3 linked regions of the Sus scrofa genome follow. The protein of the gene in region 2 interacts with the protein of the main gene of each other region in a pairwise test. Links are inferred from orthologs where the notes say so. Each region holds a gene or a part of one and is shown on either strand. Other genes may lie near its edges.

Region 1 (3,967 bases), on a different chromosome or scaffold from region 2:
AGACGTGGCTCGGATCCCGCGTTGCTGTGGCTCTGGCATAGGCTGGCAGCTACAGCTCCAATTGGACCCCTAGCCTGGGAACCTCCATATGCCGCGGGGGCGGCCCAAGAAATGGCAAAAAGACAAAAAAAAAACAAAAAAACAAAAAAAAAAAACCCTCAAAGAAAGGAATACATATTGAGTAATTCTGAGTGACACACACTCAAACTGTAAAGAATGCCACATATCATTAAGATAATTCTTTTACAGTAGGTTTTTTTTTTAAGTAGGGAAGGAAGCAAGCTAAGCTGTCCATTAATTCTCATAGGCTATTTTGCTAATCAATTCGGCCTTCACTAGTTCAGTAATGCTCAATAAACATTTTTCCTTGTTTTATACTTTTTTCTTTCTTTTCTTTTCTTTTCAGGCAACAAACATTTATTGTCCCATGCAGGTTTTGAGGATTAGGAATCTGAAAGTGCCTTAGTTGGGTGATTACAGCTCAAAGACTCTCACAAATTGCAATTAAGTTGTCATTTTTAATACATTACTTTTTTAAAGTTGTAAACTCAAAAAAAAAAAAAATGCCCCCCAAAGTTAAATTCCATGATCATAGCAAAGTCAGCTCTGTAATCTTTGTTCAAAATGAAAAACCAACAATCTAGCACTATCACATTTTTTGTACATTTTTTAAATGTAAAATATCCTCAAAAGCTGTCTAAATTACACAAACTTCACTTCTAACACTACATTTAGAGATAGCTGAAGCACTGCATAATGGAGTTCAATTTGCTAAAGCAAATGAGACTAATCTCATGAAGATTTCCTGAGGCATCAAAATAATAAATATTTAAAAGTCAAAAGAAGTCACAAAATTCTTGAGTCATACATAGTACAACAGAGAATTCACTAAATTATGTATTAACCATAGTACAAGATAATGAGCAAGATATATAGCATTCTTAGCCTTCTACTGAAATCAAATTTATTTCAATTTGATATTACAAATTAAATTAATGAAGCTGAGGATTTCCATTTCTTTCATGTGTCTAAAACTGAAAGAATAAAAAGTATTTCCTAACATTCTAGCTAAACTTTCCTTCATAATCATGCTTGTGCCTTGATAAAAATGTACCACATAGGAAAACATAAGCTTCTATACAGATTCCTTTCAATATGTTTTCAATTTCAAAAGATCACAATATGTAATCCAAGTCCACACACCTGTTATTTGAAAAAATTTTAGTTAAGATGAATTCTTCAAGATTAGTCATATAAGTAATATTTGTTCTCAATACTGCTTTATTTAAAAAAGAACTATACAGTGTTCAGATTTAAAATCAATCTCCCATCACCCTTTCTACCCAAATGAACGTTACTCTATTATATTTAGCCAAAAGAATATAGTAAACACATCTTTGTGGCCCATCATGACAAATCAGTGTTAGAAACCAATGCAACTGTTATTAATGGCTCAGAACCAAACACTGTAACAAAAACACACTGAGTGGATACTCCGTGTGTACATGTGCCCATTCATAATAATGCAAACCTCATACATGCATTAAAAAACTTGCTTTCTATTTAATACCAAAACATCTTTACATGAACACAAATTATAACAACATTGCCCTTTTTGATGTTCAAAGAACAATTTCTAAAGCAAGGGATGAGAAGAGTTAATGCCGGATTGCTGCCACCTACCAACTTTAATTCAAAGCAAAGTACAACTCAATGTCATTTTTACCTTCTAACGCAGCCACGACTCAAATAAAATTAAGTTCACTGTGGATAAAGTATCCTGGATTCCCAATGGATTATTTACTTCGGATGTGCAGGTAAATACGTGTGGACTCTCGTCCCTCCCACAGCATCCCGGAGTGTCAACATCATCTTAGTCAAAGCCAACGACGAGCAAATCCTTCTACCTTGCACCCTAAGTACCAGAAAGTCAGGGCCTCCATTGCCGTTACTACACAACAGATTCTACAGTCCCATGCCCTCTTCTATCGCATTTGGGGGAGCCGGATGGGAAAGAACCGCTCAGGATATGCTGAGAATCCTGGATTTAGTCCTGGTACCAGACTCAACATGAATACAAGTGGTATGTGGGTCACCCACAGAAAAAGAAATAGAACGAAGCTTTGTGACCCTCGAAGTTCAGTGAAGACACCAAAAGCTTCTGGGGATACGAGGCACAACCCTTTGGGGAAACCGAGGAGAAGCAGGCGATCTCCGAGTTGGAGTGACTAGGTCTGGCACAAACCCAGGGAGTCTGCGACCCGGGAGTCTCTGGTACCCCTTCCCTCCACACCTGGGTCGGTCATTGGGCTAGGGGTGCGGCCGCAGGAGGGGGTTAGGAGTAGGGGAGGGCAGGGTGCGGAGCTCCCCCAGCTGCGCCCAGGGGGTCCGGGGGGGTGTGTCCTACCTGGGCCGTGGCAAACGCAGCGATTCGGGCGGAGGGTTCCGGTCCAGCTCAGGGCCGGGACCCGCAGGAGTCAACCCACAGCAGGCGGGACTGCCGCCGCCTGCCCATCCCCCGCCGACGACTGCGGCGGGACCCAGCGCGGCTTCGAGGGCCGGCCGGCCGAGTAGTCCCCTCGGGTACCGTCCGCGTTTACTGGCGGCGGCGGCGGCTGCTGCAGTTACTGCTGCTGCTGGCGGCCCTCAGCCGCTGCTCTAGTTTCAGCCCCTGCTTCTCCTCTTGCCGCCACCGCCGCCGCCTGGTCCCTACCGCTCCCATCGCCGCTGCGGCGACTACTGCAGCGCCCGCTGACCCGACCCGACGTTATTCTCCCCCGTCGCAACCTAGCACAGCCTAGCCCACCTGCCCTGCCAGTGCGCACGCCCACCTCTCCGCCACAGGTGCTGATTGGAGAACGCGTCCCGAGTCCGCCACATCGGTTGGCTGGTCCCATTGCCTATCACGAAAGGGGCGGAGAGTCAGGCAAAGAACATCTCCGCCCCCACCGGAGAATTGCCGCTATCTTCAGGTTTGCCTGAGAGGGCGAGTTACCGGGAAAGGAGCATCACAATGGAAGCGCGCGTGCGCGAGGGGATTCTGGACCTCGTAGTTCCAGCCTCAACGTCAACTGCCTGCCGGCCCAGAGAGGAGAAGTGGGCTTCTGGGACTAGTTGGCTCACAGTGGGGTCTTCCTAGCTCAACAGTTATCTTGGTTATATAGTGATGGTTGTGACGCCAGGGTTGGCCTTTTCTGAAGAAAATCGAAAATGCTTTCTCACCATACGAATTTCCACAAGCTGAGCTGAGGCATTGGGTCATGAAGAAGGGCCCCAAGTCGTGAGGCCCTGCCGTGCCACCTCCTGGCATGAACCAGCGCTGCCAGGATCTGGCAAATTGGCGTCTTCCCCAGAACAACCTAACATAAAGCTAATCACCGATGAGTGCTGGGAAAAGCCTAAAACTGTAAGCAAGGAGACAGAAACCTCCGGAAAGGAATATTAGCCTGGAGCCCGGCGTATCCTTAGGGTTTCCACAACTGTAGCGAACAAGATTTCATTCCCTTTTTGAAACATCACCACTGAAGGGTTCAGTGAGCAGCCCTGGGAGGTGCAGTATATGATTCTAAGCAAGAGAATGTGGGAGTCCGTAGAAGGCTTTCCAAAAAAAAAGGGAGGGGGGCGGAGCATTGAGGCTGTGTGGGATAATTTGTATTCGGTGTTGATGTATCAAGCTGTTTGGTAAAGAGGCAACCTTACGATTAAACCCCTCTCCCATCCTTACCCACCAACTTACAGAAGAAAAAAACTCCAAGAAGTTTAACAGCTTTCCTGGATCTACAAAACTATTTAGTGGCAGAACCAAAAACGTGCGTATCTTAAACGTCCCTTGTCCTATGCTTTTTTTTACTCAATAATCACAGTGACTCCCAGGAGTCTGCCATGGACTGAAAGATTGTGATGCATTACAACCTTCATTTGACTTTAAATCTTTTTCTTCACTCAAGTGACATCATGATTAAAGCTA
Region 2 (3,500 bases):
GAGCTGTGGTGTAGGTCACAGATGCAGCTCAGATCTGGCGTTGCTGTGGCTGTGGTGGAGGCTGGCAGCTGTAATTCCAGTTCAACCCCTAGCCTGAGAACCTCCATATGCCATGCATGTGGCCCTAAAAAGCAAAAAAAAAAAAAAAAAAAAAAAAAGATATGTGTATTCAGTTAATATTGTTAACCTCCTTTCAGGCTCTTGGTTGTGAGATTATGCCTTTATCGTGTGGAATTATAACCACCATGATTTCATACCCTTTGACCTTACAGCTTTCAGAAAAGGGGAAACCATACGTTGACATCCAAGGTCTAACCGCTTCCACCATGGAGATCCTGCTGGACTTCGTGTACACAGAAACTGTGCACGTGACAGTGGAGAATGTCCAAGAACTGCTTCCGGCAGCCTGCCTGCTTCAGCTGAAAGGTACAGATGCTAAAGTCGAAGTTGTTCATGCCCAGCTGGCCTGGGATGTTTAAAATCTGTGATGTAAACTTATTTGTGAAAATTAAGGAGACAGACGGGGGGGCCTCCTGTTTACTGTCCATGGCACAGAAGATCAGTTCTCAATCACAGTGTAGAGAAACTGTTCCAAATGTGAGTGTCTGGCACTTTAGGAGTAGGATTTCTTTTCTGTTTTTAGAAAAATGGAGGAAGGGATAATAGATGCATTTTCTTCGTCCAGGGACACAGTAGTCCTGCAAGAAACACAGGAAACTGGTAGGATTCACTGCCTCCTTGGACGGGAACTAGATGGCCAGGGGTAGGGAGGCTGGGGGACTACTACTCACATAAACCCTTCATACCTTTAATTTTTTTAACCACAACAATTTTCTGTTAAAAATTTAAATCGACCCACAAAGGAGTTCCTGTCGTGGCGCAGTGGTTAATGAATCCGACTAGGAACCACGAGGTTTCGGGTTCAGTCCCTGCCCTTGCTCAGTGGGTTAAGGATCCGGCGTTGCCGTGAGCTGTGGTGTAGGTTGCAGACGCGGCTCAGATCCCGCGTTGCTGTGGCTCTGGCGGAGGCCGGTGGCTCCAGCTCTGATGAGACCCCTAGCCTGGGAACCTCCATATGCTGCGGGAGCGGCCCAAGAAATAGCTAAAAAGACCAAAAATAAATAAATAAATAAATAAATAAATAAATAAATCGACCCACAAAAATGAAAGTGTGGAGTTTTCGCAGGATTAGAAGTAGTCCCCCTTCCAGTTCCCAGTCTGTCTTTCTTAACCTCCAGTTCTGTTTCTGTTGTTTTCAGTTTTTAACACTTGATTGAAACAGTGTGAAGCTTTTGCATTAGTGTGCAGCTGTAAAATTAAGTTTATACTCTGAACTTTTCATCTAGAGAAATGCAGGAGTGTCATCTCTCAGTACCTCCTGTTTCTTTGACCAGAGTCTTTTAGTAAGTTTTCATGTGGAGTAGAAGTTAGGTGCACTAATTACAATTTACAGTTACAAATTACAGTTGGATTTACATCTTGATTCCTAAGAGTCTTGTCAGCATTTTTGTTTAATTATGGCAGTATCCGAGGTAGCAGTTTATCCTGCTGCACTTGTATTAATGCTGCAGCAGACCTGTGTAAAGAAGGCCTTGCCCAAGGCCACACAGTGCATAACACAGAAATGGGATTTGAATTCCCTAAGCGTAGACTTTCAAGGCCGATATTTCAGTGTTGAACCAGGGTTCCTCTGATATCGTGTGGAGATGCTGTGATCACAGATTACAGGGTGGCCCACCCCAGGAAGTATCCTCAGGGGCTCGCTGTCTGTCTGTCCTAGGCGTGAAGCAAGCCTGCTGCGAGTTCTTGGAAAGCCAGCTGGACCCGTCTAACTGCCTGGGCATCAGGGACTTTGCCGAAACTCACAATTGCGTTGACCTGATGCAAGCAGCTGAGGTCTTTAGCCAGAAGCATTTTCCCGAAGTGGTGCAGCATGAAGAGTTCATTCTTCTGAGTCAAGGAGAGGTGGAAAAGCTCATCAAGTGCGATGAAATTCAGGTACAGACCTGGCGTGGTCTGATGCTTTCTTCAAGATGGGGCCCTAAAACCAGAAAACAGGGTGGAGTTACTGTGCTTCTGGTACAAGGCTTTTTTGTCATGGGTTTGTAGTGGCTCCAAGGTTACACTAATGCCCCTGAACCTATGTGCCAACTGTATTTGCATATTTATGAAACTTATGATCCTGGTGGTTAAGAAGCACTCTCAAACAGTGTGGAATAAGCAGAAATGGGAAGTGAAGCAGCTTTCGGTAGAACACTTCCATTTCCCCTGCAGTCATTGGCAAACATCGATTGAGAATATCTACTGTATAGCAACCACTGTGCCCAGAGCTGGAAGTCCAAGAGGCAGTAGGATGCAGTCCTGATTCCAGAGAATTCAGTGAAGTGACAGTTTCATGCCTATTCAGAGTGAGAAATCTACGTAGGGGAAAAGAAGAGTAAGCCTTCTGGGCTTAATTGAGATCAAAAAGGCAGTGGGTCAAAAAGGACAGGATGTGGAGTTCCCATTGTGGCTCAGCATTAACGAACCTGACTAGTAGCCATGGGGACACGGGTTTGATCGCTGGCCTCACTCATGGGTTAAGTATCCAGTGTTGTTGTGAGCTGTGGTGTAGGTCACCGACGAGGCTCTGATCTGACGTTGCTGTGGCTGTGGTGTAGGCCAGCGGCTGCAGCTCCAATTCAGCTCCTAGTCTGGGAACCTCCTTATGCCATGGGTGTGGCCCTCAGAAGACAGGAAAAAAAAAAAAAAAAAAAAAAAGAATTTGAAAAAAAAGAAAGAAAAAAAATATTTTGGAAAGAATCGAAATTTGATTAATATTCTAAGTGCTATGGAAGGAGTTTGCTACTTAAAGACATTCTGTAATGCAATTCTATAAACAAGTGATTACTTCCTGATTTATTTTTTTAACACCAGGATTTTCAGGTAATAACAAATCAAATACATTTCTCATCAGCATTTTCTTGACACCTTTTCCTAATGAAGTTTCTCAGGGACACTGAAGGGGCACATTGGTGCCCTCGTTTCCGACTAGAGGAATGATTTCCACTATGATGCATGGTTTCACATAGGCCCAGAGGTGCTGCTCTGGCAAAGTCTGTGGAGCCAAGGGTTTGCTCTATTTTGTTCTCACCCTCACGGTGAGGGTGGGGGGAGAGTCTTTGTGCAGAATGCCAGGTGCAGGGGTAGAATGAGCATTCAGACGTGAGGCCCATTGTGCATGGTCATAAAATAGCATTGGTTCACTTATCAAATGTTTATTGAGTATGTAACTGTGTGCCCAGAACAGTTCTAGATGCTGGGGATCCAGTTATGGATAAAGCAGTCAAAAATCCCTGTGCCCTGGAGTTTCCATACTAATGGTACCATTCTTGGCATTTTTCATCTTAATTCTCAGAACGGTCTCCATTTTTCGTAGGAGGAGACTGATGCTGGGAGATTGGTCACCTACCCCAGCTAGGAAGTGGTGGGGCCAGGACTCACCTCGATGACAGCCTCTT
Region 3 (4,229 bases), on a different chromosome or scaffold from region 2:
AAGGGTCCCAAAGTTCAAGTCCTAGGATCTTGGGGTCACTGGGGTCAGGGATCCTAGACCCAGGGTTCAGAATCAGGAGTCATGAGGTCAAAGCGATGAGGTCGAGACTCCTAGATCACCGGGGCAAAGGTCAGGGGTCAGGGGTCTGTGTTCCTAGACTCAAAGTCACTGGGCTTGAAGGTCCCTGAGGTTGGCAGTCTTGAGGCCCTGGGTCGCTGGGTGTCAAGGATCCCAGGTCCCTGAGGCCAGAGTTCCATGGGTCCAGGGCAAAGGATCACTAGGTCCCTAGCATTAGAGTTTGGGGGTCAAGGGTCTCAGGTCACCGAAGTCAGAGTTCCTGGGGTTCGGGTCATGGCTCCCTGGGCTTAGGGTGTCAGGGTCTTGGGTCCCTGTGGCAGGGCTGAGGGTACTCACCTCTGGGGGCAGGTGCATGAGCAGCACCGCTGCCACGGGGCCCTGGGCCTGGCAGTAGCCCTGCTCTGGCCGATACAGGGTGTAGGCCTTCAGTACCTCCAAGAGGCCCTGCTGCCTGTGCCAGAAGAGACCCTGTCAGGGGCCGGCCCTCCGGGCATCCCTTCCCACCCTCTAGCGTCCCTTGCCCAGGCCTCGGCCCTTCAGGGGCCTTGCTGGGTCTTCTGGGCTGCAAAGACATAGAGCTGGGCTGGCGATTAGGCCAGAGTGCCTGGGGCTTTTGGGGCTGCAGGTCCCTGGGCATGAGTGGCCTCGTACCCATGACCCTGGGGTGACACAAACATCTCATGCAGAGGAAACTGGCGGTGCAGGTCCCTGCCAATGGTCTCCATCCACTGTGGGTCCCCAGGGGCTTCAGCCAGTTTCTGTGGGTGGGCGAGAAGGCAGATGTGAAGGCTCAGAGTGGCAAAGGGCCAGGGCCGGGGCGGTGGAGCCCCTGCCAATCCCCTCACCTGGTAAGTGCCAGGGTTGTTCTTCTGACACACATGGGCCCCGCACAACAGGGGCCAGCACCGGGCCCGCAGGGCTGAGGGAATGCCTTTCCGGCACTGCATCTTTATCTGCGGGTGAAGCAAGGGGCCTCATCAGGCCAGCCAGCTTCCCCTGCTCCTGTTGGCAGGCCCCAGGTACCAGCCGGTCATTGTGAAGGCCACTTTGGGGAGCAGGGAGAAAAGGCAGGCCTGCTGGGACCCAGGAGGGGTCCAGGGTGTGGGCCGAGGCCCAGGGGGATGAGCCTCCCTCCCCTCACCTTCTTGTATCGTCGAGACATGGTTTTCTCCCAGTGCGAGGTCATCTCTACCCATTTCATCTCCCGCTGGCGGATGAGGTCTGCAGGCGGGTGACCTGGCCTGCGGGCACATGGCACAGGCATCCAGGCGCTGGGCACCTGTTCCCTAGAGCCCGTATCTGCTACCCTTCTTGCTACCCAACTCCTGGCCCTGGAGATCTCTGGGAAGCCCTGGCTGGGGGTGACCAGTCACCCAGGAGTTGCCAGTGGTTGTCATGGGGACAGGGAAGGATGTGGCTCCGATGTGGGCGGAAGCAGGAGAGGCTGAAAGGGGTGTGTAGGTGTGTGTTGGGGGAGGGGCTGGTTGGCTGTCCCCCAGGATAGGGACAGAGACAACTCATAGACAGAGCCCTGGACTAGAAGCCAGCAGTCATGAGTTTGAGTCTGATTCTGTCTCTGATCTGCTGTGTGACCTTCCTATCTGTCTCTGAACTTGTCTTCCCATCTGCGTGTTGGGAATGGGGAGGCTTGGCGGAGGAAGAGGTGTGGGTTCCGATTTGGATCTGGGATTCCTGGGCCAGATGAAAAGGGGGAGAATGTTTAGCCCCAACGGTGGGTACAAAGCCTCAGAGACAGAGAGTCAAAGAGACAGTCAGGGACTGACCCCCTGCAGTCCTGCCAGCCTTAGGATTCCACCTGGCACCTGCAGAGCAGTGCCCCTCCCAGGACCCTGGAGGTTGGGCCTCACTCTAGAATTCAGCCCCCAGCGCCCACCCTCATTCCCAGCTCCCCACCACGCCCCCCTCATCCCTTCGCCACTTACCCTGGCTCTGCTGAGCTGCCCCCAATGAAGCCATAGCGGTCAGCCTGGCGATACGGGTCGGGCCCACTCAGCTCTGAGTCAGACCCCAAAGAGCTGGAGTCATCCTGCAGCTCACAAGGCTGCACCAGGTCCTCCCCCAGGGCCTGGGCCATGGTGTCACAGACCCCTGATGCCAACAGGCTGCAAGACGTGGGGAGAGCCAAGGTGAGAGGCAGCCCCTGGCCAGCCAGGTCCCCAGCCCCAGGACCTGACTGTGGTCAGAGGGGACAGACTTCAGGGTATCTCACCAAGCCTCTTCTGTCCCCTCTTCATTGTGGGATAGAGGTGGGGAGTGGGGAAGAACCAGAAGTGGCAGAAAGGCCAGGCTGCTGTGTAGAGACCCAGACCCAGCCCCCGTCCGCACCAGCCCGGCTTACCTCCCTGCCGCACCTCACCTCCTCCGCTCACTTCCTCCTCAGCCACAGCTTCAGCCACCCGCTTCGGGCCCCTCCCAAGAGTGGGGGGGGGTTACCCCTTCCTCTCTCAGGCGCTTCCGGCCTGCCCTAGCGGCCCTGGGCTCCTCCCACCACCCTGGTGGGCTGGGTGGATACAGGTTTGTGTCGTGGGCTGGGTGTGATGGAGCCAGGGCCTGTCAGAGGTAGAGAGGCCAGGCTGCCTCCAGATTTGAGGTTACTGGCATGTAAAACCCTCAATTCAAGGTTCCAATGAGAATTACGTTTTTTTGTTTGTTTGTTTGTTTTAATTTTTTTGTCTTTTTAGGGCCGCACCCTCGGCATATGGAGGTTCCCAGGCTAGGAGTCTAATCGGAGCTCTAGCCCCCAGCCTACGCCATAGCCACAGCAACGCCAGATCTGAGCTGTGTCTGTGACCAACACCACCGCTCACGGCAGCGCCGGATCCTTAACCCACTGAGCAAAGCCAGGGATCAAACCCGCAACCTCATGATTCCTAGTTGGATTCATTTCCGCTGCGCCACAATGGGAACTCTGAGAATTACGGTTTATTGAATGTTTGCTCTTCACGAAATAACATTTTTCACATGCGCACAATGTAGCTTAATTATGCTACTCAAAAGGCAATGATAAAACATAAAAAAAAAAAAAAAAAAACAGGGAGTTCCCCATCGTGGTACAGTGGAAACGAATCGGACTAGGAACCATGGAGTTTCAGGTTTGATCCCTGGCCTCGCTCAGTGGGTTAAGGATCTGGTGTTGCTATGGCTGTGGTGTAGGCTGGCAGCTGTAGCTCTGATTGGACTCCTGGCCTGGGAACCTCCATATGCCGTGGGTGTGGTCCTAAAAAGGACAAAAAGACAATAAATAAATAAATACATAGATAGGAGTTCTTTCTGTGGTGCAGCGGATTAGTGGTATGGCTTGTCTCTGTAGAGGCGCTGGTTCAGCATTGCTGCATCTGTGGCATAGGTCGCAGCTCCAGCCTGGATTCAGTCCCTGGCCCAGGAACTTCCACGTGCAGCTGAGAAAGAAAAAAAAAATTAACCGCTAATTCAGCTTGCATCACAGGCACTGTGGACCAAAATGGGCTTGGAGTTTAGTGACAGGTTTCTAGGTCTGGTCAGTCACCTGGGGGCCACAGAGACTCCGGAGGTAGAGGCCCTTGAATTAGGTCCAGGTCTTGGACCAACCCTTTGCTATCTCTGTGCACTTCAAGGACTTGATCGGCAGTATTTGGGGAGACCCAATGAGTTACCGATGAGCTCACACCAACTTCCCGCCCAGGGCGGAGGTGAGAAGGACTGCGTAGCCCTTAAAAGAGAAAAACAACTTCCACAGCACTTCCTGTCCCATATTCTCTGGAAAGGGGTGGCCAACTTCTCATAGGCAGAACTAGACTCGACCTCGCCCCTCGAAGCCCCGCCCACCAAGAGGCTCCGCCCCAGAGATGGGCGTTCCGTCCGAGTCCCGCCCCGTGACTGAGGCCCCGCCCCCCGGGCCGCTTGGGCCTCTGCGCCCGGCGTCCGGCGGAGGCGCTAGAGCGCTGGGGCAGCGGACGGGGCGGGGCGGGGCGGGGCGACGAGGGGCGGAGCGGGCGGCCGAGGAGGCGGGGCGGCGGGCCGGGGCGGGCCGGGCCGGGCCGGGCGGAAGGAGAGCCAGGCCGGAAGGAGGCAGCGGGAGGGTGGGAGGCAGGAGCGGGCCCGGAGCTGCTGGGCCAGAGCGGCGGCGCCGCCATGTCCGACAGCGAGAAGCT

The links. The genes of interacting proteins can lie anywhere in the genome.
Region 1: the proteins of KLHL12 (region 2) and TTBK2 interact in binary tests that used the Homo sapiens proteins (3 or more experiments, as listed by UniProt). The two-hybrid records come from large-scale screens. The link is inferred for Sus scrofa from reciprocal best matches to the Homo sapiens genes KLHL12 and TTBK2.
Region 3: the proteins of KLHL12 (region 2) and TBC1D10C interact in binary tests that used the Homo sapiens proteins (3 or more experiments, as listed by UniProt). The two-hybrid records come from large-scale screens. The link is inferred for Sus scrofa from reciprocal best matches to the Homo sapiens genes KLHL12 and TBC1D10C.

What each region holds. Positions count from the first base shown.
Region 1 is NC_010443.5:128,488,519-128,492,485, reverse strand, and holds the start of TTBK2 (tau-tubulin kinase 2), read right to left. Parts: upstream 2,801-3,967; 5' UTR 2,408-2,800; intron 1-2,407.
Region 2 is NC_010452.4:24,889,482-24,892,981, reverse strand, and holds part of KLHL12 (kelch-like protein 12), read left to right. Parts: intron 1-272; coding exon 273-426; intron 427-1,780; coding exon 1,781-1,998; intron 1,999-3,500. UniProt on the Homo sapiens protein: Substrate-specific adapter of a BCR (BTB-CUL3-RBX1) E3 ubiquitin ligase complex that acts as a negative regulator of Wnt signaling pathway and ER-Golgi transport.
Region 3 is NC_010444.4:5,116,028-5,120,256, forward strand, and holds the start of TBC1D10C (carabin), read right to left. Parts: upstream 2,801-4,229; 5' UTR 2,456-2,800; exon of another isoform or gene 2,202-2,455; 5' UTR 2,174-2,201; coding exon 2,022-2,173; intron 1,320-2,021; coding exon 1,220-1,319; intron 1,032-1,219; coding exon 924-1,031; intron 837-923; coding exon 730-836; intron 530-729; coding exon 415-529; intron 1-414. Other genes in the region: PPP1CA (serine/threonine-protein phosphatase PP1-alpha catalytic subunit), read left to right, coding at 4,210-4,229.